Mytilus edulis: one gene and its partner. The protein of the gene in region 1 purifies or fractionates together with the protein of each later gene. This does not show direct contact. Links are inferred from orthologs where the notes say so. Each region holds a gene or a part of one and is shown in the gene's direction. Other genes may lie near its edges.

Region 1 (6,907 bases):
GCCGTTTCGCGAACTGTCTAAAGAATTAAAGGGAAGTGCATCCACTGTGTTTTCAGAGCTCCTCACCTACATAGTGCAGATAATACAAATTATGATTATCCTTTATATTCCATCTTGCAGTTCTAGCCAATCACCGAAATTTCTGAACTTGGAGCTCATTAGAAGGGAGGAGATGTTCTTTTAGCTTTAAAAATGATAATGGTGCGGTCGTGTCACAATCATCTATCTATCTCTGATATTGAATCATTGCCAAAGCTGCCAAGATCTTGCATTGGCACAAGATTAACCATAAGTTAGATAAAATTGAGAATGGAAATGGGGAATGTGCCAAAGAGACAACAACCCGACCATAGAAAAAAACAACAGCAGAAGGTCACCAACAGGTCTTCAATTAATGTAGCGAAAAATTCCCGCACCCGGAGGCGTCCTTCAGCTGGCCCCTAAACAAATATATACTAGTTCAGTGACAATGAACGCATACTAAATTCCAAATTGTACACAAGAAACTAAAATTAAAATAATACAAGACCAACAAAGGCCAGAGGCTCCTGACTTGGGACAGGCGCAAAAATGCGGCGGGGTTAAACATGTTTGTGAGATCTCAACCCTCCCCCTATACCTCTAGACAATGTAGAAAAGTAAACGCATAACAATACGCACATTAAAATTCAGTTCAAGAGAAGTCCGAGTCTGATGTCAGAAGATGTAACCAAAGAAAATAAACAAAATGACAATAATACATAAATAACAACAGACTACTAGCAGTTAACTGACATGCCAGCTCCAGACTTCAATTAAACTGACTGAAAGATTATGATTTCATCATATGAACATCAGGCACAATCCTTCCCGTTATGGGTTTAGTATCATACCATCATAACATATATGAGAAGAAGAGTTTACTAGAACATTTCAGGAAGGATGTGTTGAAAGTACAATTCCCTCCACCCTTCTTAAGGATTGTATGGTGAATGATTGAGAATGAATCTGAGATGAAGTCACAATTTTGCTATAGTGCATACAAGACAGATCTAACAATAGCTCATATTTTACAGTATAATTGATGTACAGAGAAGGAACAGCAACTCACAGGCATTAAGGAGACCACGAAACCCAATTTGCAGTGTTTTATTTAGGGATGTCTGTCTAACACTAGAAGGAGACTTCTTTGAGAAGGGCTACATGAACATTGCCTTATCATTCCGTATGACTGGGTGCCATAAGCCCTTCTAGAAGATGAAGCATTAAGGAAATATATAGAAAAACATGGGAGTAGTTTGTACGACAGTCTTAATGAAAAGCTTGTTTCCTACAGCTGCAACATAGATCATAATTCAACTGTAACGACAGTAACAACTTTTTTTTCCATAGAACAAGCATTTCACTCTTCCAGCATCCATCAGCTGACAATGCAGTTGAAAAACGTGAGTTATTTCACAGTAAAGACAGCAGGATTAAGGCAGCAACCATTTGATTTTCTGGGGGGGGGGGGGGGCTATGGTTTTTTTTGGAAAAAAAAGTTTGTTTCCAGTTTTTGGAGAAAAAAATAATTTGTTTTTGATTCTGAGAAAAAAAAATTGTTTGTTTCACCCTCAGCTGCCACTATATGTAATGCTAAAATTGAAAGAAAAAAATTGTTTTCGACTTGTCGCGAAAAAAATAGATTGTTTTTCGCCGCAGGCGAAAAAAAAAATTTGTCCAGAAAAAAAACCCATAGCCCCCCCAGAAAATCATATGGTTGCTGCCTAAGAGGGTTCCTGAACTTTCTTATTCTTTTGACCATATATACCATACTTTCATCACGAAAAGGAATCCAACTCCATCAAAAGCCAATTTCCCTTGGGAATTTAACTAAAATAAATGCAAAAGTGATTTGGCTGTTGAGCATTAAGGGCTTGAGAAAAGAAACCGAAAAGAGGCATCTGTTGAAAACGACAATATAACATGGTCGGTGGACCATGCCTCCAAAAAGGTGTCCAGTATTTGGTGTGAGTACTAGTGTATCATCGCTGTAACCTATCGGCTATTACCAAGTCCATTCAGCGGCCACATTACGGCATGTCATTGACGTGATTAAAAAACACGGTTGTATATTTGAATCCATTTCAAACATCTGTTATTGCTACTGATGAGCCAATCTACACATTAACAAAACAAAATGCAGTGACATTGACCCAAAATTATGACGAGGACAAGTTTATTCATTATGTCTTGGGGTTTGCACGTTGAAACGGCAGCATTTAAGACCATTGGTAATCTGCTTGATGATAATTAAGGAATTAACAGGAACCAAGTTTGAGGCAGAGATTGCTTCCTCGGGAACAACGTAATTCTTTTTGTCTGCATCACGTGTCACTTGGACACAGTAAATAACCAGGTTACAGTAAGCACACTCTACAAGCTACTTAAAGAAGCCAATAAGTGTTTACTTACTGTTTAATGTCAGAGGTCAGTGAACAAACTCAGGATGTGCTAAGTATCGTAGACTGGTTCGAAAGACGCAAAACTGAAAGTCCACAATTTCAATTCTGAATCTAATGTTGACAATTGAATTAAAAAAATGCACGATGAGACATGAAGTTATTTGATCCTACACATCATCAGCTGGCTGCAGAATTCCATAACGAAAAATTTATTTTTTCACAAATCTAATTGTGAATTTTCAGCGTTGGATAATGGCCAATTACATGAGCAAGCACATGTTGTTATCAAAGGTGATTGTGGTGCCATTGATGTGTCACTTGGTTAATGTTTCTCAGTATGAATCGGCATCTGAAGCCACGAGTGCCAATGAAAGTACCAGACATCACGAACAGGCAGAACACACACAACATTTCATCGATAAATTACAGAAGCTGTATACTGTTATGAAAGATATGGGCAATCTATAAATGGGAGAGACTGATGACCTTTTTACACTAGGTACATAACAAAATGTGTTGCCAACTTAACTATGCGGTATGGGCTTTGTTCATTGTTGAAGGCCGCACGGTGACCTATAGTTGTTAATTTTTGCCAGACTGACATACATAATAAAATGTTTTAACATACCAAATATAGTTGACCGATTTCATATATAATTAGAAGAAAAAAAACATGAGAAACTGGGAAATGGTTGTGTGCAGTAGAAAATTTATGGGTATGAGATTAACTTAAGTTGGGTCGACTGTATGAGAAGGATATATGACAGAAGGAAACTATGTCAATATATATAATGGAATTTGATGCGACTGTTATACAAGTGAGAGTCAAGTTAAGCTAGCTATAAAACCAGGTTCAATCCCCCATTTTCTACATAAGAAAATGCCTGTACCCTGAAGTCGGGAATATGACAGTTGTTTTGAATTCGATTGATATGTTTGAGCTTTCTATTTTGCCATTTGATATAAGATAAGATAGATAAGATATATTTTATTTCCAATTAAGAGCCCACAAGGGGCATTTAGAGAATACAAGTATAAGGAAAAAGAACATTGATTAGCATAGATACATCATATAATTTACATACCATGACAATCACGATACAATTAGACTGTAAATAATAAAACCCTTGGTCTATAATATATAAATATATTTATATGAGAAATTAATACATCTAACATCATATTGACTTGAATAAATTTTCCAACCGAGCATTAAGAATGATCACAGCTTAAATACATAAATATTTTTTTGCTGATATAATAATTGTTCTTGTAATCCTCGAGAAATCGTGGTACCGTCAACCCTCTATAATATAAACTTGTTTGATAGATTTAACGATGCCGCCGCCGGATCACTATCCTTATATAGAGCTTTCTACTGCTTGACAACGATTATAAATTTCGGAGGTGTACCTTATATGGAGGAAGTTATACAAATATCACGAGTTATCTACCGTAATGGGATTCTCCAATCTAAGAAAGCACAAAACGACCCGCATTCCACAGCGGTCTGTATCCAGTGGTGAATATGTATACAAATCTTTGAAAAATATCAACTACAAGCTATCACAATGAAGGTAACTATCTAAACAGTTTGATGTACTTTAATGGTCAAGCACCAATGAAAATAAAATATTTATATATACCCAAAAGTCGACACTGAAAGAGGTCAAAACAAAAGAGCATTTTGACTTTTTTTGCCATTTTGGTATAATTTTTTCATTTTTGTGTCTGGATAAATTTTATGATTTTCCGATTTCATAATTCTTATCAAGGTATGAAAATGTTTAAATATGCCAACCCTCCCCTTACCATTGACAATACATATATGGCTCTTGTGTAAGGTTTGTCAATTTTATTTAAAATCTGATATCTGATGGGAAAGCAAACTGGGATCAGATTAAAACAGACATAAATATGATAACAAAGGACATCCATAATCATATACACGATATGCCAATAGATAAAACCTGGCAAACCTTCAAGAACGGTGTACAAGCAACAATTGACACCAACGTACCATCTAAAATGATAAAGAAAAAGCACTCTGTCCCATGGTTAAACAGAAAACTGCGCAAAATGCTAAAACGGAAAGCTAGGTTGCACAAACATGCTAGAAAAACTGGAAGTTACAAAGAATATAAACAATTCCAAAAAGACTGCAAACGCCAATTTAGAAAAGCAGAATGGAACTATATTAATGACATCATCAATGCAGGTTTTGAAAAGAATAGTTCTAAACCATTCTGGAACTACATGAAAGCAAAGAAACAAGATAATATAGGAGTAGCACCACTAAAGTCAAATGGAGGCCTTACAAACGACAGCAAAGAAAAGGCAGAAATTCTAAACAACCAATTCAAATCAGTATTCACTAAATTAGATCCGAACTCACAAATACCACCACTAAAGAAAAGATCAACTTCAAATATTTCAAAATTGGACATAACATCAGAAGGAGTACATAAATTATTGAAAAACGTAAATCCATCCAAAGCAATGGGACCAGACGGAATACCAAACACTGTCCTTAAAACATGTGCAGAAGAACTCGCACCAAGTATATCCGCCATCTTTCAAAAATCAATTGACACAGGCACTCTCCCTGAAGATTGGTTAAGTGCAAACATAGCTCCAGTATTTAAGAAGGGGGACGTCCAGGCAGCTGAAAATTACAGACCAGTCTCACTGACCTGTGTATCATGTAAGCTTTTGGAACACATCATCTGTAAACACATCCTTAAACATCTGGAAAAGCACAAAATACTGACAAATTTAAATCATGGATTCAGATCAGGTTACTCTTGTACAACACAGCTCTTAGTCACAACAGAAGACCTACTAAAGAGCTTCGACAGTGGCATTCAACTTGATATGGCTATACTCGACTTTTCAAAGGCTTTTGATACTGTGCCACATAACAAACTTCTGGCAAAACTAAACAGCTTCGGAATAGATGGAAATCTGAACAAATGGTTAGCAGCATTTCTGCAAAAACGATCAATGCGGGTTGTCGTAGAAGGTGAGCACTCAGAATATGCCCACGTAGACTCTGGCGTACCACAAGGCACAGTACTAGGACCGCTGCTTTTTCTATGCCACATCAACGACCTCCCGGAAAGCGTAAAATCTCAAGTTCGTTTATTTGCAGATGACTGCCTACTTTATCGAGAGATCAAAAACACAAAAGACCACCAAACTCTCCAAGAAGATCTAAAAGCTCTGGAAGTATGGGCACTAAATTGGGGAATGAAATTCAACGCAAAAAAATGCTATATAATGAGCTTCAAACAAAAATCAACACACTTCTACCAACTAGACAACCACATACTAGAACAGGTACAAACTAATCCTTACCTAGGTCTTAACATATCTGATGACCTAAAATGGACCAGCCACATAGGGAAAACAACAAGCAAGGCAAGCTGTACACTGGGGTTCCTGAGAAGAAACTTACGCCAGTGCCCCCAAGAGTGCAAAAAACTTGCCTACTTAGCCATGGTTAGATCCGTACTAGAATACGGTGCTGTCATCTGGGACCCATTCACCATCAGGGAAATAGAAAAAATAGAAAGCATACAGAAAAGAGGAGCACGATTCATTCTGCACGACTATAAATCCAGAGACACCGGATGCGTCACAAATATGCTTTCTAAGCTAAAACTGCCACCTCTCCAAGAGCGAAGGAAACATCAGAGGCTGACTATGTTCTACAAAGTGGTTGAGGGATTGGTGCCGGCTATTGATCCAACAGATTATCTACAAAAGACAAGAAATAAACGCCAAGTGAAAGCAAAAAACTTTAGTGACTTCCAATATTCAAACATAGTGGAAAGACAAGAAACCAGAAATAGCAGATCGTATAAATTAATAGACTGCAAAACAGACATTCGTAAGAACTCTTTTTTTCCAAAAACAATAGTTGAGTGGAACCATCTGGACGAGGTAACTGCATGTCAAAAGACAGTTGAGGGTTTCATGGCTGCCCTCCAACGGTTGGACTAACCAACCCGCTCTCCTTCCAGTGCGCATATATCCGCGATCGGATCCTGCACTGTGTAACATACAGATACAGATACAGATGTCTTCCTATCTTATCTTTGTGAAAGTACAAAGAGAAAATACAAACGTGATTAATGTATTCAAACGCGCAAGTGACCAAAGTACATATGAGAAAATCAGTGTCAAGATGACGCATACTAAAGACTAAAGACTATCTTATCAACTCCATGATTTTTATTTTTCAGCAAATATGTACATTTTGATGATAGTATCATACATCCAATTATATGAAACGACTTTGTAGAGGAATGGATTTTACAGTTTGAATTAATTACAGCTTTTTGCTAACTGTACAGAAATTATAATTTGAGAAAGGAGTCTTTATCATAGTCAGTTCAATGCACATGGTCACAAGAAGTATGCTACCCAATAGACCACTTTTGAGTTCATCCGTCACTGGGAAAAACTTGTCAATTATGCAC
Region 2 (7,248 bases), on another chromosome or scaffold:
AAAGGAGATGTAGGTATACTTCAATGAGAAAGCAAAACATCGAAATAAGAACAAAAAGATATATGCGAGTCAATGTAAAGTTTTTATCAAAAGACATATGTCTTTACAATATGTCATGCTCTAAATTGTTCTGCTGAATTGTTCCAATAAAACGCTTTCAATTCCAAAAAAATACTACTTTATTTTTACTAGCATATATTAACCTGAAAATAAGGGGCAAAAGTATGGAACACCACAACTTAAAACATAGTGCCGCTGCTTTATGTGTCTTTATCTAATTAAATGTTTCACATCGGGTGATAAAGTGTATACATACATTTCTATTGTTTAGGTCTCTGTGTTGAAAAGATATTCTTGTGTTATAAAAAAAAACCTATGTAACATTCTTTTTAGTACTTTTAATTTAGGATATTTTTAAATCTCCTTGAAAAGAATACAATTAGTTCTGTCATGGACACCTGATCAGAGATACCATTTAATTAAACAAGTTTATTAACGTTTGACAAAAGATATGATCTAAAATTATGTAATACAGCCTGTATGAAAATACAATTCAATTCTTTATTAACCAAATACATGATAAGAACAAATGTGACATAAGATACCATAATGAATATATCAAATAAAAAATAATTAATCACTAGTGAATGTCACTGAAGAAATGAAAAAAGTTTTGAAATTCTATATCAATCACTTAGTCTAAACTGTGTAATCATAAACAGACATAATGTGCAATCGACTATGCTGACGTAAGTGCTCTTTCACCATTGCAACGTGAAGCTAAAATTTCAAAACCAGAAAACCCCTCAATGAACTCATAATGTATTTTACCCGAGCATTCTCATCATGATTAGTTCGTTTCCACTGAAATATACATAAATTGATGATGACTGTGTTCAGTATTTAAGATTCAGTTCCCAAATTAAAGAAAAAATGAAATCAAGGGGTGTGTTAATGTAGATATATATATAGAAACAAAATTGTAATTAACATCTTGCATCCAAATCAGCAGTTACATCTTATTTTTGAAACTGCCGCTTTTGCATGATTAAATGGTCATTATTGTCCACATATTGTCCAAAATATATGGTATGATTAACTAAGTCAGACAACTATCCATTGCAAACCTATAGGACAAGAGTGTTAACAAAAACATGCCACTCTAGGGCCTTTGACAGTGAGTACATTCATCCGGTTACCGTATATAGTAAGATATATAAAAGGACCGTTTGATAAACACTCTTGATCTACCGTTTTAAAGTTTGGCTATGCTGTTGTTTGTTTTTATTGGACATAAAATTGGAGATAGCCCTCAAAAATTGATATTCCTCACTCCTTTTTCAATGCTTAGTTACATTTTTTTTTAATTCTCATCTATAGTTAGCCTTTTATCCCTACGGGGTCATGGATATTATATATTTTGGGGGTCTCAATACTTTGATAACTTGGCCAAGCTTTCCGCAATGATAAAAATGATTAAACTTGTCAACAGGATCATAAGCAACTATATTTATTAACAAAATATACAACTTGAGTAATTTGACGATTCAATATATATTAAACAATGTAAAACTATACCTGCAAAACATTTTCATAAATAATGAATGCACATAAGTTATAAACTTACAGGAAAATCTGTTTCATAACTGGTGCCGAATACACTTTTGGAAAGTCCTTTTGGTGTAAAATTATATTCTCCCTCCTTTAAAACACAACTTTTAGATAAATTTCGTCTGATTTCTTCCACTCGTAAATTCCTGTCTGGACCATATAAGCGATTTCTCCTTGCATCTATGGATTCCATTTTGGTATGTTTCGAATTCTTTACTATCCCAAATGTAGATTACAATATCCTAATCTGACAACATCATCGGTAATGTTGGTTTGTTTTTCTTTATTTTATTGGGATTATATTTTCACCTGTTACATACTTAATAATTTAATAACAAAGACATAATGATCCAATTTCGAATTAATACTATTGTCTTCGGTCGCCAAGGAGATGACCCGCTAATCCACCCGAATAATGCAATTAATACGATACTTTTGATTGAATTAAGTAGACGTGTGATCCCTTCGGTTTCTTTATGCTCTAACGGTGCACTTCATAAATTAAGAAAATATTTCATTAAGTCTGTTAACATTTAGTTACTGATTTTTAATTTTGTATATTAGTATAAAATTTAAAAGTCCGATACGGTTCCACCAGACAAAGTCAATAGTTAATACAAAGCAAGTTTGATAACATTTGGGATATTTTACAATTGAGCACAAAAACATATGATATTTGATAATAAGGTTAAATTATTTAACCCTTTTCTTTATTAGCATGTTTATCATACTCATACAGTGAGAAAAACGTTAATTCAATGGCTAATCTGGTCTGTGCTTCATCTAGGTTTAAAGCTGCCAAAACTACAATGAATTCAGATTAAAGTTAAATTCCATTTTAGAAATAATTCTCAAACAAAATATGATCATTGAAATAAAGTTAATGCGGTTTAGATTAATGAAATGTATTTTAATGTATTCGTCTGTTTAGGAGAGAATATATTTGGGAACAATTGTTTTACAAAATTTTGAAATGTCTGTCATATCATTGAGTTGTCATCATAAATTTTGAACTGTTACGTAATTGTATTTTTCTTCACACAATATATACCTTATATGGCTTATTTATGATTGGCATATATTCATATTAGATAACGTAAAGTTTTAAGCTCAGAGGAGGTAATTATAACACTAGGTATGTTATATCATTCTATACGTTGTTGATGGTACAATGTACTTCACAAATATGGTTATTACATGCTCTGATATATTATGCATTGTCATTCTATACAATGGTCGATGACATTCAAATATAATTTTGAGTACTAATAAATATAGATTGTTTTCATTCCTGTCTCAATATCAACCAAATACTCCAATATTTTTTCAATAATTTTGGCCATACGGTCATGCAGGATCTGAAATGGCACACTGATCGATGATGATGTCTAACACCGCTGCATGAGCATTTCCTGAAGTGGATTGAGATTATAAAAGAATTAAATGATTAATCACATGCAAAGTGATTTGCAGTTTTTAAGTATATATAGTCTTAACATTGTAAACTTCTGAAGATGAATGAAGAATAAGAATTGAAACAAAAAAAAATCAAAAAAAAAGAGTAGAATTGATACTTCAAATGAAGAACATTAATAATATATTACATGTGTGTTATATGGGATAAAAATGAGGATATAAGTAACTGAGACCAAACACTAACACATTTGTAAAATTGTCATTTTTAAACAATCTAAAATATGTTTAAACTGAAACTAACACAAAGTGAAAAGGCAAAATTTCGTCTTCCACAATTGAGAAATGTCTATTCCACTACGCGAATCTTAATGTTACCGTAATTTTAGAGAATTAATAGTTGAGGATCCTGGATTTAATCATATCTTTATTTTCATCTTAATTCATACTTTTATTCACATTTTTATTCACATTTTTGTATGGTTAAAGTATCTCTTATAATCTATCACAGGAGACATTTGAACAAATAATCGCCGAGTACTTAGTGAGATCAGAAGAGGCAAACGGTTCTAGATAAACTGGACAATTTGAATAACCAGCGATATCTTTATACATCATCAAATATTATCATGTGAGTAATACATCATATGTTACAGTGAGGTATGGATTTTTGTTGCCTGTTTGAAACTAATTTAGTGTGAGAACCAGGCGTAATTGACTTTGAGCACGGTAAACTTATCATGACGAAAAGCGGTCAATAGTATGAACAAACAACAGATTTTTCTGTAAAACAATATTTCCCCGTGATTTTTTATTTTATTTCTGATTCTTCCATAGTATGCTATCTGAGGCTTTTGTTACATTGACTCAGTTTGTTTCATTGACATTTGTCCCGAGTGAATATCTAGAAGTATCATTTGTAACCCATTTGTAATACTAGATAAACAAGTTCCTAGGGAAATTCCCATGTTCTACCCGATGATAAGCCCTTTCCAATATTTTGTCAATGAGTATTGTGGCTGTATTATGGCTGCAATAAATTAATATATATATAAGCACCTGATATATTGTTACTTTAAACTTTATCTACTAAGCACACTTATATTATTGATCACATGTGTTATCATACTTAAATAAGAACAAAACTATTCATGACATTTAAAACAAATGTACTAAACATGTGCACACTTTATATGAAACAATTAATATTAAGGAATGAAACAATGAGGAGATTAAATATGCTCCAGGACAACGATTGATAGCCTTATTATGGAAAGCGCAGCTAAAGTGTTAAACACAGGGATCGTTAATGTTCTTGCTTCAAATGTATCAAACAACACAGGTTTATTATTCCCACATTTTAAATTGAAGGTAAACTATAAATATCTATCATCTATGACACAGTAAGATATTTTCCGGAGACAAACCGTCATCGACTTGAAATTACTTTTCTCAACCTAAGTTTTCTCCCTTAGATAAACACATTCCATGACAGCAGTAATATTTGTAAATTGCTCAGTTGATCACTTAAATTACAACTGATAGAAATGGCAGATGATTTTGATTTTGGCGAATCAAAGAATGCTAAGGTAAATTTAGGTTATACCTGTCAAAAAAAACTGTTTCCTACACGTAAAAATTATAACCTAATCATGAATTTATAAAAATATCTTTGACATGTTTGATACATTTCTGTGAGGTTTTTTTTAGTTAGAATTTTGGCTTTAGGTAAAAGTAGAAGGAATTGAGAGTAGGGAGAGGGAAAAAAAGTAGGAAAGGGGGAAGGTTAGAAACCAAGATACTCCTTGCCCCCTTTTTATTACAATGTAGCTATAGAGGGTAACGAAAGGGTACCCAAATTGCACCGAGTACCCAAATTGCACCTATTTAGAAAAAATTGCAACGGAAATCTTACAAGATTTCCTAGAGACTAAACAATTTGTATTTTTATGATTCGATACTATGCACGTCTTTCAACATAGGTAAACATATTTAGATATACACAAAACGTTCACAGTCTTTATCAACAGATGGACTGTTTACTGAAAAAGCAAAATGTACGAAAACGTCACCATGCGACGTCATCAAAACGTCATCTTTTTAAAATTAGCAAATACAATATATTATAAGTATCCATTTCGTAAAATATGAGGAGTAAGCATGGACGAATATCCAATTGTTCAAAATATTTGAAGAAATTAAACAAAAGCTCGGTTATTAGACTTTTGACGATGTGAATTTAAGCATGGATGCAATTTGGGTACTCCTCATTACAGAATCATGGATAGTTTGGAGGTTGATTCAAACCCATTTTTTTATGACTCAATATGGATTAAAAATCAAAATGGTGTACCTATACAATAAAGAAGGATAAGGCTACAAAATAAACCCAGTATGGACATTTTTTTCTTGATCATAAAACAACGTAGGTGAAAAAACTGTCAAAATAGGTGCAATTTGGGTACCGTCACGTTAGAAATGCCAGGCGTCAAACAACCATTTGCAGCTACCGTTAGCATCAAATTGGTTAAAGTTTTACCTTGACTTGTCAAAATTTCCCTATCAAAATTTGTTAGAGGTTAAAAATAATAATCTTTTGTGTCAATTTTGGAAAAAATGAATGTGATACATTTGTAAGTCAAAATTAGTTGATTTTTATTTTGTCTACAAAAAAAGTGTACATTTTATCGTCATGCACCAAAGAACTTTTACCACTATTTATCATGAAGGTACCCCCATTACTACTGTCATGTATGTGTCTTATCATTTTATTTTGATTATAGGGTACTGCTAAAACAGGGAGAAGAGCCCAACAGAAAACAGCAAATCCACCAGATGCTCCTGATTTTGAAGCTAGCGTAGAAAACTCACCAAAGGCACCAAAGTCAAGACAGCCGGCTGGAAGACAAGAACCTGTAGGTTTTCTTTATAGTCAGACAACATTTTGACATTAAAAGAAAAAAATGTCACATTTTATACATGAATTACCCCAAAACAAAACATTAATGAATTTACATATATAAAATAAGGATTTATATAACTATCAGTCACATTGAAATGAAGATCCTGTGTTCATGTTTTACTACTAATATATGTATATGACAAAGCTCAGCTGACACTCATGTTACATATTTAAACATATTATATCGTGAATAACATTGGTAGATTTAATGATTATCAAAACAGAAGGTAAAATCAAGTACTAACAAATCATCAAAAGTCAAAAATTGACTCCAGATTTGTATTTGAATCAAATTACTATGTATGAAATATTGAAAATGATGTTGACATGTAACACCTTAATCTAAAAAAAGTGTGTGCCTGTCTGATATTGCCACTCCAGCTGTGCATAGTGTCCTATGGGCACATATTCTTGTTATAACATGCCATAATTATAAGCAACCTGAATTTAGTAAGAATATATAATTTGAATATCATCATTATTTTACAAGTCAAAGATACTTTCTACTCTCTTGAATGGTTTTATATACAAATTTAGGAAACAAGATACATTTGTAGATTTCTTTAAGTCATGTAAGTGTTTTAATATTTAGCACAAGTTCAGAAACAATTATTGTATATATATGCTACCAAAAAAGAATAATCTTATCCATTTTAAAGATCTGTTAATATTTCAGGATGAGCCGCCGAAGCCCTCAAGAGTGTCTGGATGGGGTGAAGATAATCCTCGTAAAAGGTAAGCAATATAAAGCATTAACGCCTTAAATTGAATGTAATCAGCTACAATGATTGAAAATGCAAATATTAAATTGCATAAACTTAAGAGAGAGGAGAAAATGCAAAGGCTTCGTGAACTTTTCACCTAGTACTTAGTGAGCATAAAGGAGTATCATATTTTTGACAATTCAATAACAAGACCCCAGTAATGACACTAAAATGAAACTGTCTTTGAATATAATATAACCATGTGCTATTAAAAGCAGCATTAAAAACGTATACAAATATGATATTAATTATTTGTGCACTTGTATTTGTTTGTAGAAATACTGATTGTAGGATAAGAAGAAAATATAACATTAGTACTTGAGGCAGCAAACTTACATGTACAAAAAAGACTTAAATATGAATACCATAAGGGCAGAGCTTCCAAAAAATATTTGAGCCACTGATACATTTTAGGTCTTATCATTAGGCCATCTTATATATTTACTCACTAGCTTCATATACATAAACATTGCTTGTTTTTCATTTAAAATAATTTGT

The links.
Region 2: the proteins of WD repeat-containing protein 19-like (region 1) and intraflagellar transport protein 43 homolog A-like purify together in Homo sapiens (affinity purification with mass spectrometry; 3 studies listed by BioGRID and IntAct, counting the BioPlex papers as one, with this or other methods). This does not show direct contact. The link is inferred for Mytilus edulis from reciprocal best matches to the Homo sapiens genes WDR19 and IFT43.

Annotation. Positions count from the first base shown.
Region 1 is NC_092351.1:26,542,622-26,549,528, forward strand, and holds the start of WD repeat-containing protein 19-like, read left to right. Parts: upstream 1-3,883; 5' UTR 3,884-3,994; coding exon 3,995-4,000; intron 4,001-6,907. UniProt on the Homo sapiens protein: As component of the IFT complex A (IFT-A), a complex required for retrograde ciliary transport and entry into cilia of G protein-coupled receptors (GPCRs), it is involved in cilia function and/or assembly.
Region 2 is NC_092346.1:63,096,125-63,103,372, reverse strand, and holds the start of intraflagellar transport protein 43 homolog A-like, read left to right. Parts: upstream 1-4,239; 5' UTR 4,240-4,293; coding exon 4,294-4,395; intron 4,396-4,466; exon of another isoform or gene 4,467-4,571; coding exon of another isoform or gene 4,572-4,613; intron 4,614-5,807; coding exon 5,808-5,939; intron 5,940-6,662; coding exon 6,663-6,721; intron 6,722-7,248. Other genes in the region: uncharacterized protein, read right to left, coding at 832-864, 1,628-1,804. UniProt on the Homo sapiens protein: As a component of IFT complex A (IFT-A), a complex required for retrograde ciliary transport and entry into cilia of G protein-coupled receptors (GPCRs), it is involved in ciliogenesis.